Linked DNA regions of Mus musculus: all the other regions are reported to be linked to region 2. The links are microRNA targets in miRTarBase. Many come from high-throughput screens and were not tested one by one. Region 2 holds a microRNA gene; each other region holds the end of a gene's coding sequence.

Region 1 (6,058 bases), not on the chromosome of region 2:
AAACTATATTAGCAGGCCAAGTGCAGAACCAGATAAGAAAGCTGGCCGACTAAACAATGCTGAGAAAAAAAAAAAAAAAAAAAAAACAAGGGCAGGCAGAGTGAGGCACTAGGCCAAAGGTAGTCACCCCATGCAAACCAACCAATGCCTGAAAGGGTCACTTGCTACACTAATTAGAACAAGCCAGCTAGCTCTGTTGCCTAAATCTGCCCCTTACAAGGTAGAAAAAGTGTGCTCTTTGTTCCTTTGGGGTCTCCTCTTGCCTGAGTGCTGAGGGACCCCAACACGTTTGGTCAATAAACCTCTTGCAGTTTGCAGTGATCTCTGTCTCAGGTCTTTGTGAGTGAGGGTCTTTCAGTGGACTCCAACAAGGGTAAATCTAAACTCAAAGGTAATCTGTGATTCAGTTTATCTCTGTTTGGTGATCACAAGTCTCTTCCGAATGGAAACCACTGTAGTCTGATTTCCCAAAGGAAATGCCTTTTGCTGTACCATTTTAGGGAAGTATATTCACAGGAAGCTCTGACCACTTTTGACCTCTAAGGCTGTAGATAAGGCCTACACTCGCAGTAACCCAGTAACCCCACTCAGCCTTTTAATATACCAAAATGTAAGATAGGGTTCTCTTTTCCATGTATAAGGAACCCAGAGAGTCCATGTGTCTCTCTGTGCATATCACTGCTCTTTCTTCGGGACTCCAAGCATTAACTTTTGATGTGGTGGCTTTTACAAATGACTGTGTGTCTGAGGCTTGGACTGCACAGATAGCCAGCCTGGGCAAAGAGTGAGATCCTGTCTGAAAAATCAACCCCAGGGGCTGGGATGATGCCTCAGCAATTAAGAGCATATGCTGTTCTTTCAGAGGACCAGAGTTCAGTTCCCAGCGCACAGTTGCTTTTTAACTCTAATTTACAGGGGATCCGACCTCTCTGGCCTCCAAGGACACCTGCACTCAGGTGGATATGCCCCCACCCCACCCCCCACAAACACACATTAATATGATATTAAAACAACAGCCAAATGTAGTGGTGCACACTATTAAAAGGCACTTGTCTAGGGTTACAGAGTGGAATTCTGTCTCCAAAAAAAAAAAAAAAAAAAAAGGTAAAAAAAAAGTGTCTGTCGATGGTGCACACCTTTAATCCCAGCACTCTGGAGACAGAGGCAGGCAATTCCCAAGTTTGAGGCCAACCTGGTCTACAGAATGAGTTCCAGGACACCCAGGGCTACACAGAGAAACCCTGTCTAAAAACAAAACAAAACAGAAACAAACAAAAGACCTATTGGGTATGATGGTGTATATTTTTTTAATCCCAGCACTCAGGAAGCAGAGGAAAGCCAGCCTAATCTACAGAGTATGATTGAGTCTCAGAGAGGGGACAGGGGGAACACTTGACAAAAGCAGGGAAAGTGTGTTTGGGCTCACAGTTTATTTACACCTTAATTAACTGGATCTAGAAATTTCCTGAGAGGTATGCCTGTAGTCACCTCCTGGGCGACTCTAGATCATTGTGGGAAGCCACATGTGCCATTGCAGGGTGGCGCTGGTTACCGCTGGCCACCACGCATACATAGGCAGTAAAGTTTTTTTTGCCAAGATGAGGTTTTGAGAGTTAACCAATCAGATGAGAGACAAGTTAACCAATCAGATGAGAGACAAGTTAACCAATCAGATGAGAAAGAAGTTAACCAATCAGATGAGAGACATGTTAACCAATCAGATGTGAGACATGCAAATGAGGTGGTAAGCATAACCCATGCATAACCAATCCGGGTGTGAGACACGCCTCTCCTAGGCCTATATAAGCAGCACCAGTTCTGGGATTAGGGTCTCTTCGCCTCTGCAATCAAGCTCTCCCAATGTGCAGAAGGATCCTGTTGCAGCGTCGTTCTTGCTGGCGAGCCAGGGCATGCACAAGAGATCATGTTGTACTGAAAACCATAATTAACCCTCAGGGGGCTAGATGGATGACTCAGTGGAACCTGGGTTCAATTACTGGTATCCATGTAGCTTATAACCAGTTATAATTCCAGCTCCAGAGTTTCCAAGGCTTTCTTATGGCTTGCATGGCACCAGGCATGGATGTGGTACATAGGCACATGCAGGGCAAAACCCCTTGTCCTGGTTAGTTGTTTTTTGTTTTGTTTTGTTTTGTTAACTTGCCAAAAGCTTGAGTTATCTCAACATTTCAACCATATTTGAAAAATTGCCTCCATAAGACAATAGGCAAGCCTGTGGGACCTTTTATTTTTTGAGACAGGGTCTCTCTAGTCTCTGTTCTGGGACTTATATGTAGACCAGAATGGCCTAGAACTCATACAGATCTGCCTGCTTTCCATTTGGAGATTAAAGATTTGGGCCATCACACTTGGCTACATTTTGTTGAAAAAATGATTGATGTGGGAGGGCCCAGCCCACTGTGGGTGGTGTCACCCCCTGGGCAGGTGGTTCTGAGGTATGCAAGAAAGCAGGCTGAGAAAGCCATAAGGAGCAAGTCTTCCTCTGTGGTCTCTGCTTCAGTTCCAGCCTCCAGGTTCCTGCTTGAATTCCTGCCCTGACTTTACTTCGTGATGGACTACAAGGTGTACAACGAAACAAACTCTTTCCCCCAGGCTGCTTTTGGTCTTAGTGTCTGCCACAGCAATAGAAACCTAACTAAAACACATCATTACATATCAAGTAAAATGTTTTTTAATTAAGAATCAACCATCACATAATACAAAGAAAAAGGAAATGGTCAAAGCACATACTGTGATATTGTACAACTTTGAGCAGAAGCACCACCTTGGTAGCATTAATATTTCAAAAAGCTCAAAGCACACAAACGGGTCTTGGGGCCTGACATCATCCCTAGTCCTGAAGTAGAAGCAAAAACACAGCTTTCAAAAGGAATTAGAAATACTTTATTTCGTACCCAAATTTCAGTGACCATGGCCCTAGAAGCATAGATTTAGGTACCCCAATTTCATGGCTCCATGGAGTTTTGTAGAACAGAACAAAAAGTTATAAAGTAAGGCGTTCTTCAGACACACTAGAGGAAGGGTTAAACGTTACAGCACAGTGATAATCTCAGCTCTGGCTTCAGATATATGACAGCATTCACAGTACTTGGACTGGTGGAGAATAGTTTTATCAAGTGAATAGTTCTATAGTGTTGGTTAGTTTGGTTTGGTTTGGTTTGGTTTGGTTTGGTTTGGTTTAAATCTGTTGTCAGGATGTTTGGGGATCTCTGCAAACACCAAGGCTGGCAGCCTAATGATCCATTTGAGGCCAAAAGGAAATCCAGTTCAACACAACTTAGCCTATGCTAGGTCAAACTTCTAGAGTCTGACCCCAGCAGTTTACTTTAGCTGTATTTAAGCACAGCACAAATTTCCGGGGGAAGTTTTTTGATGATAATTAACTCGGTCACTTATGTACAATAATGCTTAAGACAGGTTGACATTGACACAGTTTACAAAGTACTTATGGCCTCTTCCGTAAAGACGGGATCTGTTAGCTTGGCATGGTGATGCACAACTTCAATCCCAGCACTTGGGAGGCAGAGGCAGGTAGATTCCTGAGTTTGAGGCCAGACCGGTCTACAGAGTGAGTTCCAGGACATCTGGGGCTACACCAAGAAAACAAACCAACCAAACAAACAAAACAAGATAAGTTTGGCAGAGGTAGAGGTCTATTGACTCACAAACAGTGCTGGAGATACAGGTCTAAGAAGAAAAAATCTGGGATAAACACATATAAAAATCGGTGGCAGTCAAGAGTGGCCTGGCCCTACAGGTAGCACAGAGGTCCCCTAGGCTTTTCTAATATACAAGTGACAGTGACATCTCCTATAAGGATGAGATTTATTGAGCAACAGTATTCAAGAAAAGGGCCTATTGGCAGGCAAAAGGCCTATGGAGGAAGAGTCTGGGATAAACAAAGACAATAGTCTGTTCAAGTGTGTGCTAGGTCTACAAATAGCACAGAACACCAGGATGTTAACTATATCCATTCCCAGACATCTGGGTGGAAAACAGGTCTACTTCTCTGTGAGCACAAGAACCTTGTGCCCTCTACAGCATGTTAGTTCTGACCCAGAGGGAGGCAAGACATTGCTTAGGTTGGAACAGCCTAAGCTATGCCTCTCTACATCATTAAAATGTTAAGCCAGGCAGTGATGGTGTATGCCTTTAATCCCAGCACTCAGGAGGTAGAGGCAGGTGGATCTCTGTGAGTTCCAGGTCAGCTTAGCCTACAAAGGGAGATCCAGGATAGCCAAGGCTACATAGAGAAATCCTATCTTATTAAAAACCAAAAATAAAATAAAATAATAATAAATTAATCAATTAACTTATGTAGACATAGCTTCTGAGAAATTCCCATTCACACCTCCATCTGCTCACTGTGGGTTGAGAGGACTAAAGACTAAGGCTAGTTCTGAGATGCCTGGGGGATGGAGAGCCTAAAAACACAGACACTATTCCCAGTGTCTGATGTGGCAAAGTCCACAGTTGCTCAGGCTGGCCTGCCAGGGGCTTTGTTATGGGTTTTTATGGATAACAAAGCACCTTGTCTGGGCCACATCCTGATGTGGGCTCAAAGGACAACATTTTTGGGTCCTCCCATCCTTGCCTTCTAGGAAAACATACTGAGCACCATGAACCCAAACTGACTTTAGCTTACGAGTTCACAGCACAAAACCTCCTAACTCTGAGGCCAGCCAAGGCAGGCTTCAAGGAGAGAAGCCCTCTGGCTGCATACAGAGAGAAACCCTCTGGTCTTCACAAGAGAGAAGGGCACATCATATATCTGGGGGTCCACGGGGTATGCAGTGGGATGAATGTCAGCTCCAAATTCAGATGGGCTATTTGGAATGTTTCAGTCCTGTATCAAAGGACACTTGACTCTAGCTCGAGGGTGAAGCAAACACAATTTTTAGCAGCTAAGTTGCCACAGTTTGCAAATACATTCCTGCAAGGTCAGTCTCCAGTTTAGAAACAATAGTGTTCATTGCTTCCTCGACTTCCTTAAATCCAGTGATCTTCAGGAATGCCATCTGCTTACTTTCCGGAGCTTCATAGCATAGTGGAGGCTGGAAAATAAAACACAAAGTGAACACACACACACACAACCAAGGGTCGGTCTATTTATATCTCTTGAATGTTGAGGAGGAAAGTTGCAGTGGTTCTGTGATTCTGCTTCTCAGGATAGGAGAGGCTCTTTGTGTCCTCAAGTAATACCCAGTGGTCAGGAGACCCAGGCTGGGACAGGGCTGATCAAGACTGTCACTAACCTATTATCCATCTGTTACTCAGGTGGCAGAAAGCAGCGAAGCCTGACATGGAAAGAACTAATGGTGTCTAATGGAAGCCTAATGGAAAGAACTTCTGGTGTCTTCTAGGAAGGCCAGAGGCTCCGGGTGAATAGTTTATGGAGGTTGACCTTGCCCTTCCTTATCCTAATGAAGCCTCCAGCATTCAGGGAAGTGCCTGGCAAGGTGGTTAGCCCCACCCAAGGCATGTTGAGAAGATGAGATGCCGTGTATTTGGAGGGCCAGCCAGGGAGAGATACACCATGTGACATCAGGATCTGACCAGAGAGATTCTAAGACAAGCCTACCCTGGGGTGATCTATGGCTTCCAAAAGATAAATCCATGTCCTGACCCGTCTCCTGTAGCTAGGGTCTTAGTTGGATAGATTTTTATAGGTGAGGACATACTCCAAGGACTGGTCAGGCAGAGAGAGGGCCATCTGAAGATGATGGCACACAGTTTAAGCTGCCTCAAGCCAAGGACTGACTAGCTCTAGGTTTAGATTTCTAGCCATGAGAATGAGGAGACAGTACATCCCTGATGAGCTGACCCCCACTTTGCAGTCATCTGTTACAACATCTCAAGGAACTCTTTATAAAGATAACACACCTCCCTTTGATTTTCTGTGCCTCAATTTCTACTCTGTTTATTCTCAGAGCAGACTTCAGCTCTCATAAAGAGAACACAAACACATCATGGCACAAATTAAACTGCACGATGCGGGTAGGGAGGCCTGGGCTGCCTCATCTCCAGCATTCTGGAA
Region 2 (6,058 bases):
ACACCCCAGAGTGGAAATGATAATTTGAAAATCAGGCTGGAGAATGTTCTCCTCTGGAAATGGCCTTCACTCATCATGTAGGAGGAGGTATTCAACATTGCTGAATATGGACGGTTCCATGACAAGCCCATGCCTCACAAACATTAATCACAGTTAATGAGATAAAAGCTCTAGTCATCTGTGACACTGGGTAAGCGATAGATCAGCCATCTTTTCATTGACTGTGCCAACAGCTATGTGATTATAAAGGCCAACCGTCACCCCTGACCAGGAGTGGGCCAAGCTAGGAGACTAGCTACATGACATTGAGGGGTGATTTCTGCAGCAGGATTCATGGTGCTGCCTAAGGCACTTTGTCGGTGTTAAACTCTCTATGCCTTACTTTGCCACCGCCATGCACCAGCAGCTGAGGCTGAACACTCGTGAACTTGTTTATTCACACTTGTTTAATCCTCCTTCTATACACTGACTCACAGCCTGTGGGGTTAAGAAGATGGATGAGAAGAGCAAGGGCCATGAAGGGGTCAGGGTCATGATGTCATTAGATCTCATTAAGTACATCACTCAAGACAACAGTCACTCCAAAGGTCAGAGCACGTGAGAGCCCTGCTCTAGGTAAAAGAAGATGTGTTGAACAACACGATCCAGTCCCTCTTTTCCGCTGATGCTACATATGACAGCAAACAGTTTCTACATGGCTACTAGAATTCAAAATGCCATTTTATGGAAAAAAAAATGGTTTTGAAGAATGAAGAATAAAATACCTTTAAATTCTTCAGAAAGTATGTGATTCATTTTAAAGGGGACCATAAAAATTTGGTTAGTCCATGAACTACCATTGACCCTAATAATTTACCCTGTAAAATTAGTAAAAAATTTTAAATGTGTTAGTTTGGTCTCTAAATGTTTCATATGGACTAGTAGTCACAAATATATCATAAAAAAAGTGAAAATAAACTTTTCCTGTAATAGTGCACCAGCACTTTATTATTATTATTATTATTATTATTATTATTATTATTGTCATCATCATCATCCTACCATGTTATAAGCTAAGGGTGTTATGGAGGACTTCCACCATTGTATTTTGGAAGGATGAGATTAATGAGATTAAAAATTAGGATATATCTGTTTTCAGAACATGTGTTAAAGCTGGGACTTGTGTTCTTTAAATGTTGCTTGAAGACATATTTTTAAAAGGGGGTAAAAGTATCTTATTTGACTGAATACACTTGTTTATTTATATTTGTAGCATTTTCATCTTTTACTACAATATTAAACAAAACTGAATCAACTCCACAGAGTACCTATAACTATTAAGGTTACTAAAATCAAAGATGTAGAAAAATGGTACGTAATTATGAAGATAAATATAAGAATTTCCTCAAGCTTATTGAATTTATAAACCAGTAACTTGTATATAAACAGTAAAATAATGCAAATAAATTATTTTTAAAAAACTAATATAAATATCCATAGAAAAGCAACCATATATACTAAAACTAATATCAAATGTATTTGTTTTTTCTCAGACATATATTATTTGAAATAGTATAAAAACAATTCTTTATAAAATCATATTTTTGATTAGTTCTTTGATAAATAAAATCTATGAATTTTTACTAAGTAAAATTCAATATATAAGTCAAATAAATAGATCAAAATTTTTATTTTGCTTTAGAAAAAAACAAAACAGAATTTAACCTATACTAGGAATTTATATCTATACATGTTATGCTTCACCAGACAAGAAATATTGGCTTAAGACATATATAATTTTTCAAAAAACAATTTACGTTAGACCTGCATGGGTGGTTGAAAAAGAAAAATGACTTAATTCCATGGCCACAAGGTGAACAAGGGCTGTGCATACACGCACACATGAGTGGTTGATGCCTCAAAAGACATGTGAGATTAAGGGAAAACTCATTCTATTCATGACATTATCAATTGTTGTCAACTAGAGTTCACATGGAGAAATACTGAAAAAGAAAAGAAATAGTATCCAAATAAACAGCAGTGTTTTTTTTTTTTTATAACAACTAATGTAATAGCAAATTCAAAAGTACTGGAGTCAAATTTGCTTGATATTTAGGGCTGATAACTCAAAAGTTCTTGAAGAAATTTCCAGTATATTCAATTCAAAGTTGCATATTCTCCTATTAAAGATCTTACTTGGTCTCCTCTTCTCGGAAGAAGAAATGCTCTAGTCTGGTCATTTTATCATATACTAAGAAAACAAATGCAGAAAGTTAAATGGTTTGACAAAATCACTGGCTAGTTAATCACTGGACAGGACCCAACGTGATGGTTTCAACTCACACAACTATCCTTTCCCTATATAGGTGACTGATGCACCTGGCTACCTCATTTGTAGATGAAGATAACTTCCTGTACCCACTGCAGGCTTTCGTAAGTCGTTTCATCTCTCTATTCCACTTTTATCTGCTTCAAACTGATGTAGATGCTCTCTGAGGTTTCTGACATCTCACTTGCAACTGCTTGCATGGTTTTATAGTCACCGGACCCACAAATTCTCTTTCTTCCTCACACTCTAGGTTTAACCTCACATTCATTTCTTGCAAGAAACTTCTATGAATGCTCCCATAATTAACATCAAACCCAAATGGAATGAATGGGAGATTATCTTATGCACAGGGTAAGGGCCCTTAAATAAGAATGAATAATGATCATATTTCCCAGATGACATCTAGGGCAGCCCTCAAGTGTGATTAACTAGACCACTCCTCAGCTCTCCTTTGCCACAGAAATTGAGCAGTTCATTTGCATGTCATCTGATGTAAGGAGAGACTCTCGCACATAATGGGTTACTACCAATGGGTACTTCATTAGTAAAGCATTTTCTTATGATGTGTCAGAAAAAGGAAAAGGTGAAATAAATTGAGATTCTGGCATCTCTACAAATAACATAGACATTTGAAGATTAGACTCCATCAGCTTATCCAAATAATTCAGGAAGGTTTTCTTAAGTTGACCCATTTATAGGTACCGCCTTTTAACAAGAGGATACTGATAGAAACCACCATTCTAAAATGAAGATCCTATATGGATATTAAATATAACATTTTCTGCCTCTCTTCAGGAATATTCAAAGCAGACCCAAGGAAGAAAGCAAAAATAAATCAGCAAGAAACTTTCTTTCAACCTTCTCTTCAATACAGACATGGGCATCCTAGGAAATTATATGTTCTAAATGAAGGGCTGTTTTACAAAATGTATTTAATTTAATTGATTATAATCTCCAAGGATTTCAAAATAGATATTAAGATAAAAATTCACAATTTTCCTGGGAATTTTTCCCATTGAATTGTGATTAAAGATGATAAGAAAAAGAAGAGAAAAAAATCATGAATTTAATTTCAGTTTGTGGGGTTTCTTGTAAATAGAGAAGTAATAAGAATTATTTCATAACTGAAAAGGGTATGAGATTCTCAGCCTCGTGATTTGTTTCATTTCCTTTAGAGGGGAATATACAAGGTGAAGCCACATCAGCAAATTTGTACTTCAAAGATTACATTCATTAGGTAAAATACCCTACTAGCTTGGTTAACCTTTAAGCCATTATGGTCCAAGGAAAGAAGACCCATCAAATCATGGCCCACAAGAATCCTGTGAGTCTGAAACTTCCACTAGTTTTTCCTTCTCTGTCTACTCAAGCTTCATAGAACGCCATTTATTTTCTATTTCATAAAAGAGCTCACGGTCTGCTTGCAAAACCGAGAGGAACCTACAGATGACTTTATGTGTCTATTGATCAAGGATCAAAATTCCCTACTTTTCAGCTTTTTCCCATAACCTTACATACTTGGCAGCTGTCTTCAAGTAGGCTTCCAGCTTTAATGGTGAATTTAAACAATACTCAAAATGAGCGTTTACAAGAGTAGTTACTGTCGCACAGGATAAAGCTGAATTATATTTCTTAATTTAAATTACTACTATATTAAGAAGACTTAAAGCTAGAATTTCTATGGTCCAGATGTGTTGAAATCTGTTCACTGCATCATGGATCTGACTCCGTTATGGGTCCTGTCCTCATTTTAACTTCTTTTTATGTTAATTCTATGGTAGTATTAAAGCCATGAAACTTCCACAGAATAATGGATGTATGGAGTTTTATTCCATTGATACATCTATACACTAGCATACCTAGCATAATAACATAGATACAGAATTATGTTGTGTCTATAGTCTCCTCCCACTATTCCTTCTGAGTCATAATCAGTCCTGCCTGACTCCATATCTTTGACTTTTTAAAACCACTAATCTGCTTTCTATCGTTATAATTTTCTGATCCTGAGAATATTATGTAAATGGAATTTTATAGCATTCGACCTTTTGGAATGCCCTTTAAAATGCCATTTTCAGATCCACCATAATACCCATGAGACCCATCTGCATCGTTCTGTATATCAATAATTCAATTCTTTCTATTGCTGAGTAGTATTCCATAGTGTGGATACAGACTGCTCTGTTTAATCATTCATTTCAATGAGGGACAGTTCAGTCCTGTCTTACCTTCTGCTATCACACATACATCTAGGATTGTGTGTTTGTGTGCATGTTAACATTTCTTTGATGTAAATGCTTAGATGTGCAATAAGATGGTAAGTAGAATTTAGTGCTCATGGACCTGATAAACTGTATTGCATTGTGAATATACCTCTTTGGGTTTTTATCAGTAATGCATGTAGAAATCAGTTACACTGCATCCTCACAAGAATTCTGTAATGAAACATATATACATCTTTTTTGATAGTCTTATTGCACTTCCTATGGACAACAATGCTTCACTGTGCTTATGTGCCATTAAGAATATGTGTAACATATCTCATTTTATTTTGTGTGTATTTTATCATTTGTTGTTTATGTACTGTATAGACATGTATATATCTATATATTCTCAGTCTGAAACTAATCTTTTTATATTCTTAAGGAAGGTGGGATATTTCAGAAGATTCTAATTTTAATAAAATCAATCATGGGCATTGTTTTTCCTTGTTGATAATTATATTTAGGTAGATGGTTTGGGGGTTGTTTGTTCTTCTTTCTATGTTATACTTTAGAATTATATAGTTTTAGCTGATACTTTAAATATATGATCTATTTGGAATTAATCTCTGAAGTATTTGTTCACTTTCTATTTGGCCTATGGATATTTGCTACTTTTGGCATTAAACATTGAAAACATTGGATTATTTTCTAAAATTAAAAACTAAAGAAATACAATAATTGAAAAGTCAAACTGGCCAATGTTAATGAAATTATATGTTGACCTTAAAAACTATGATAACCAGAAGAGGTTTATAGACACACATAGCAGCAAACACAAAAGAACCATGAAAATATTAATGAGTCAGAAAACTCTTAAAAGTTATAAGACATGGCTGCTATTGTGATACTCTTATTTTGTAAACTTAGTCCACTTCTCTCTGTATCTGAAATCACAGATGACTCATTTTATAAATTGGATTGTTAATCTTCAAGACATCTTAACCTCCAAACATGTCAATAACAACTGAAAGTGATGGATTTTCCTGATACTGATATTTGACAACTAGGAACTGTAAAGAGAAAATCAAATTACTTGAATAAACTAATGAGCTCTCAACTGTCAATATATAACTAAACAAAACATAGAAAAGTATTGTTTCTTTTCTTTAATATCTTACACAACACAGAATATCTAAACCAACACAGAATCTTCTATCTCTTCTCATCTCTTCAGGTATCTCCATTGTGTACACACAACTGGGCCATGGTCTCTAGATAAAATACCCCAAATCAACACTAATGATTTTTTGTCTCAAAGTGCCAAATGATTTTGTTTGCTTGTTTAAATTAATCAATGTGTAAGCTTAACCGAGTGATTAAGAAAACATTCTTGAGAGCTAGGTCTGCCTAGGTGCAAATCTTATGTCTGTATGAAAACACAGAAGTGAATTTTATATCTCACACATATCTGAGAGAGAGAATACACTTAAACAAATCTAACAGCTATCTTTAGAATTCAATAAACCATGACCAGGAAATTCTAGAC
Region 3 (6,058 bases), not on the chromosome of region 2:
TCTGAAGATGTAGGCTTTAATGAAGAGGTGACTCTTTGTCTCCTCTGTGCCTGGTTCGTCTCCCTGGCTCAAGCCTTCTGCTGTACACAGGCAAGGGATCTTGTTCAAACTTCCCTTTATCTTTCTGGGTCCCTTTGAGGGCTCACATCAGTGCATTGGATCTCCCCCCCCCCCTGCCTAACTCCTGTTCACTTTCATGATCTTTCAGCTTCCAACCTGCACCTTTTCAACAAAACACTAGAAGCCCGAGCTTGTGCGGCTCTTGCCCTGTGGGGGAATTTGGTTACTTCCCCAGCCAGTCTTTTCACTCAAAGATTTCTTTCTTCAAATTCAGTTCTGTTTCTTGTCAAAATTACAGCGGAGCCTGTCTATTTGGAGAATTCTCAGCTTCCTCCCTCGCCTTTGTTCTTATGGGATGGAAGAGGCCACTGCAGACTTGAGGCTAAGGCATGCCCAGAGAAACTCCCCCACCTAACCTCAGAGACCACTTAGCCTTCCAGAGGCTTATTTTTCTCTCAGGCCTTGGCTATTTCTTTGAAAATTTTCTGCTCTTTTTCTCTCAACCTCTCATTTCCCTTGGCTTATGTTCTGTCATTTCACGTTTTCTAATTAATTATTCATCACTTAGCTACTCTGTCATATTTGGATGCCATCATAACGTCCTGACAGTTGATGGCAAACTTGTTGGGGCTGGCAAGCTATGTTGGGATAAAGCGACTCTCTGAAGTACCCAAGAAATAGCTGATGGCTGATTTGGCTCGAGTCGGGGAGATGAGAAGAAGAAGGACAGGAAGACTGTGGGACAGACAGCACAAAAAACTAGGCATCTAGAATAGGGTGGTAGACAGGGGCAGAAAGCAATGAAAAAATTTATCATCAATCAGAGGTGACTACTGGGAATTCCCAGCCTTCTTGAGGACATTTTGAGCTTCCACTGCACATGTGATGGATGTGTGTGTATGTGTATGTGTGTGTTAGATGTGTGTATGTGTGTAAGAGGGTCACATGGGTGGATGGGAGGTAATCATATCTATTCAGAAGTGGGTAGTGACTCCAGCTGACATAGAGATGTTAGTGTTTCAAACTCCACAAAAGCCAGATGCAAGGCTTGCTCTTGGGCCCCTTCTGAAGATCACAGTTCATACAGACCGCCATCCAAGTATGTGCAGAGCGAATACAGTTTTATCCACCATTCATTTGTTTACTTTGGTGTCTATTCCAACCCTGGGTTTTTGAGAGGCCTCAGATGTGGCTCTTTATTCTTTTCAGCAAGAATTCCTTTTCTCCGGCTTTCTTTCCATCCTTCTAGTTCACGTACTGCAACCTCTCATATCCTTTGCTCACTCCTCCTGTCTGAAAGCCATCTTCCATCCTTCACTCTCCCCGATGCAGCTCCAGTGTCATGGGCTGGGCTCAGCCCTGTGTCTTCCGATTGCTTGGTTTGGCTCTTGTAGTTGAGCGTAGCAACAGCAATCACCATTTTATGGTAAAGGATTCCTGATGGTTTACAAAAATACTATCTTCTATTCCATAGTCTTCGTGAAAAGCCTTGTCTAAGTATAGGGCAGAGACAAAGAAATGGGGAAAGAGGGAAGGGAAGAGACACTCATCCTTTAGAAATAACATACTGAAACATGGCTAGAGGAGATTGTGTATTTGAAGCATGCTATGAAATAACCCAGGAGGAAGGAAAGGAGCTGGGTGTCGTGGTGCAAACAATACTGGTCACATTGTCGGAGCTCTGTAATGAACACATGAAGGTTCAATAGCTATATTGGCCTAAGCTTTGAGGAAGTTTGAAAATTTCAGTACAGAAGTATAGTGAACTCTAGCAGTGTTTCAGTATGTTATTTCTAAAAGTATAGTGTAACTAAAGTGTTTTACTAACTTCCTAGACATGGCTTATACTGGTCTGCACAGGCACCATGGTTTTCTCGATTGAACATGACCTTTAAGAGATTTCGTGAGCTTCATTCATAACATCCTTTCCTAAAACACGCACCAACCCTTGCTTTCTATTGATGTACAGCCATGGCTCTATCACTGTCCTGGGAGCTCCTGGTGGCAGGGAAAGTTTCTTACTCTTATCTTTGAACCCAGAGTGTTCTATTGACCTAAAGTAATCCGAAGGGACTGTCTACCAGGAAATCCCCAGCCTGGTGATACCCCTTTCTAACTGCTGTGAGTCTGTCTGGAAACTGACAGCAGGAGCTCCTGAGGGAAGTCACAGAGCATCCATGAAGAATTGTCCTCCCTGGGTGATAGAGAAGTCCCCTTGCCTGTACGCATGCATGGCCCTATCACTGTGGGACTGACTCTTGTTGCAGGATACTTGATCACACTGTGAACCCCAAGCTTGTGAACTGGGAAAAACTTGTTGTGGTGTGGCTCAGCCTTAGCACACGTCTTTAACACAAGAGCTAAATAAAATCAAACTTAGGTCAAGAGGCAGAGCAAGCAACCAGCTAACAGGGAGCAGACATAAGCGAAGAGAAAGGAGGGTCTTTGAGTTGAAGGGTATTTAAGACAGTGTTGAGAAGGAGAGTGGGCGTTCTCCTTCTGGGATGTTAGTGTAACAGGAAGGTCAGCTGGGTGCTTTCTCTGCCTCTCCGAGCTCGCAGGTTTTCACCCCAGCATCTGGCTCCTAAGTCTTCATTGGTAAAATCAAAGGCTGGGCTTTTTTTTAAACAAAACAAAACAAAACAAAACAACAGACTCTTTCATAGGTCTGGTCCTTTTTCTTCTGATAATTCCAGTATCTGTTCAGATCTAAAGGTCACACCAGATTTGATGCTTCCGGTGGTGTGTAGCTAATAACTCACTTGTGAATGTGAATTAATAATGCCTTTGTCCTCACTGTGTCGCATGCTTTTGAGCATTCTCCATCTTGGCATAACCTTTGTTATGGTTTGTGTATCCTCAGCCTACTAGAAGGTGTAGCCTTGTTGGAGTAGGTTTGTCACTGTGGGTGTGGGCTTTAAGTCCCTCATCCTAGCTGCCTGGAAGCCAATATTCTGCTAGCAACCTTCAGATGAAGATGTGGAATTCTCAGTTCCTTCTGCACCATGCCTGCCTGGATGCTGCCATGCTCTTACCTTGATGATAATGGACTGAACCTCTGAACCTGTAAACCAGCTCCAATTAAATGTTGTCCTTGTAAGACTTGCCTTGGTCATGGTGTCTGTTCACAGCAGTAAACCCTGACTAAGATGTCCTTCATCTCTGGACAGAGAGAACGATGCCCTTCCTCTTGTCTCATACCCCTTGGGTGACAGGACCCTCTTGTCATTTCTCTTATGCACCCCATGTTCTTCCCTTCAGACCCAAATCCTTGGCATCCCCCTGGATTCTTTACATTGAGCTTCATCCTTTGCTGTTCATCTCTTAGCATTCTCAGGCTGGAGCTTCTACTGTATGCTCACTACTCTTAAGTAGCTTTGATGAGTCTTAGCAGTCACTTTATCTTGAAGGTTTCTGCTGCGGGAGACATGTGTGATTGCATCCATTTGACGACGGTCACAGAGGGTAAGTAGCTAGTTTAAGGTTTTAGAACCAGCAAGGGACAGAAGCAGAACCCTGTCTCCTAAATCTTAGAATTTCCTGACATTGGCTCAGAGTACTGGGAACTGGGCTAAGCCAGGGTGGAGTGGTTAGGACTATTTTATGGATGCATGTTGATATTGACTGAAAGCTTGATATTGCCTCAAATTAATTTTCTTTTCCTTTTTAAAAAAACTTTGTATTGACTCTTTGTGAATTTCACATGGGGCACCCCAATCCCACTCACTTCCCCCTCCCTTCATACCTGCCCTCTCTGCTCTTGCAGCTTACCCCCAACAGAGAAAACAAATCTCATTGTGGAAGCTGTAGTGTGTCAGTGTGTCCCACAGTATACCCTTTGGTCTATACTTCTATGCTTGCAAATGTTCATTGCATTGAGTCTGGTACTAGGCCTCTGGCTTCTGCTACTCTATCAATATTGGAACCTCTCTGGGACTCCTCTCAGAGATCCTTGTTGTTGCCCTGTGTCATGGAGATCCTATAGTTTTGGATCTACAGGACCAGCCCCTTCATGCACTTTAGCAGTTCATCAATGGGATAGATGTTGGGTAGGCCAACTCAAAGCCCTGGATCTGAGCCTGAGAGGTATCTGAGCTGGTCAGTCCACCAGCTCTCCCATTCTTACACTCTTGGGCCAGCTCTACCCTGAGCTCAAAAGAGGTACACGGCTGTTCTCCCAGGTGTTGAGCAGTTGTGGGCTAGGCCAGCTCTCCTGCTCTGATGACCTCAGGGCCAGCTCTCCTGCCTGCCATAGGTGGCAAGGGGCAAGGTGTGGGGGGTATCTCTTCCTTGACTATGTCACCAAATAGCAGACAAGTGGCAGGGCCAGCTCTCCCACACTCATGTCCTTACAGTCAGTTTACCCAGCATTACTATGATACCCAGATGAGGTGCAGGGCCCACTCTCCTTAGTAACTACTGTGGTAGATGGACTAGTTATGTGTTCTGGATCACTCTCACATGCTGCAGAATTACATAGAGAGTTCCGGTAGGATCCCGATACATACATACATAACAAAAGGAGCACAGGTATGTATTGGATTCATAATTTTGGAAACTTTATTATCTAAAGGGAAAAGGGAAGATACAAAAGTTGGTTTATTTACCAAGCAAGGGCAGCAGGCCTACAGGAAGTATTGACCTTTTCTTTTTTCTTTTTTTTTTTTTTTTTTTCCTGAGCTGTCAGATTGTGGGAGAGTTGACCAGGTGGCTGTGTTTTCTGTCCTGGTCTAACATTTTCGAGGTTGCTGAATAATGTAGGCCCTCTTCATTGGAGCAGCCTTCTCCAGAGCGGGTGTGGGCTTTTGATGTGCCGTGTGAACTGTCGCTGGAAATTTATGGTTGAGCTGAAGGTGAAGAGGGAGAAGAAATAAGCATATCGGATCCACTGGGTCCACTGGTCAAGTCGCAGTCTCTACTTCTTAGATAAGACCTTCCTTCCCCAAGACCCTCCTTCCACAGCACTGCCCATCCTCAGGCTATGGAGGGGAGTGTGTTTGTGTGATACACTGTTTCCTTCACTAATGTGTCTTTACCTTTCATCATCATAAGAGTATATGACATATATAAGTCAAAGTCTAGGCTGGCCTTGAACTCATGACCCTCCAGCCTCAGCCTTCTAAGGGCTGGGATCAGAAACCTGTGCCGTCACCCCATGCTATATATTTGCTCTGAGGTCCCATTTTGAAAAGCAGAAATGGTGAAGCATTACCTGTGTCCATGCTCTGTAAAGTAAGAGTGATTCTAGCATTAGCGTGTGGAATAGATCGTTATATTCTACCAAGCATGGGGAGGTATTAAGAGGTTTGGGAAGGGGGGGTGGATTCTTCAATTAATTATCTAACAATCAGGAGAAAAAGAGCCCTTGAAAGAAGTTACAAAGTGTCAGTTTACGTGTTAGGGCAGCACATCTGAAATTGTAACTCTTTTTCAGTAAAGAGTCTGATGTTGGCCATTCCTCCCAGTCCACTAAACAGCTTGGTGAAGGAACATTGAAAAGCAACTAGCTGCAGGTGAAAATGATTCTCATGACTTGGCTGTGAGGAAGTGGGCTTACATGCCGGGAGACTTGCTGCCAGTAACAGATATTTGCTTTTGACCAAAGGTCCTGTGAGATTTACATCCAGTGATGCTTAAGATGAGAGGGCTTCGGAGCTGCTGAGTGATGCACACACTCTTCCTAGGAAGAGTTCGAACTCAGTGACCTTTGGGCCTGTTCAGTTTTGCGTTTTCAAGCTCATCAATAGTGTCCCAAGGTACCTCAAGACCGGGCTGTTAGCCAGCCAGGAAGTGGGGCCGTGGCTTGCTAGCATTGAATTTATCACTATTGAATTTGAACGCCCTTGCTTTGATACTCAAACTAAATAAAAGCGGATAAACTGTTATGACCCTGAGGAGCACATTGTTTATGGTTGCACTGGGTTCTTCTAAACTAGGGAAAACATGTGCCTTACAGCTCTTCTCAAACACCCCTGGCCCAGCTATTGCACACAGCAGG

The links. Region 2 holds the annotated microRNA mmu-miR-691 (AUUCCUGAAGAGAGGCAGAAAA, at 3,086-3,107, opposite strand). A microRNA usually pairs through its seed, bases 2 to 8, with sites in the 3' UTR of a target mRNA and lowers its output. Matches are read on the target gene's strand: a 7mer-m8 pairs with bases 2 to 8, a 7mer-A1 pairs with bases 2 to 7 and ends in A, and an 8mer does both.
Region 1: miRTarBase lists Tnfrsf26 as a target of mmu-miR-691. Seed matches in the 3' UTR shown: 7mer-m8 at 3,558-3,564.
Region 3: miRTarBase lists Dapl1 as a target of mmu-miR-691. Seed matches in the 3' UTR shown: 8mer at 4,732-4,739.

Annotation. Positions count from the first base shown.
Region 1 is chr7:143,604,986-143,611,043 of GRCm38, forward strand. Tnfrsf26 (tumor necrosis factor receptor superfamily, member 26) reads right to left here. Exons shown (of 8, transcript NM_175649.5): 8 at 2,700-5,075. The coding sequence ends at 5,059. Among named protein-coding and RNA genes, the nearest start is that of Gm15579, 7.9 kb to the left of the region's middle.
Region 2 is chr16:74,338,920-74,344,977 of GRCm38, forward strand. It overlaps Mir691 (microRNA 691), which reads right to left and starts at 3,148; the gene lies at 3,071-3,148. All of the region lies in intron 2 of Robo2 (roundabout guidance receptor 2), which reads right to left.
Region 3 is chr2:59,503,560-59,509,617 of GRCm38, reverse strand. It overlaps Dapl1 (death associated protein-like 1), which reads right to left. Exons shown (of 4, transcript NM_029723.3): 4 at 4,598-4,907. The coding sequence ends at 4,791. Among named protein-coding and RNA genes, the nearest start is that of Gm39831, 5.6 kb to the left of the region's middle.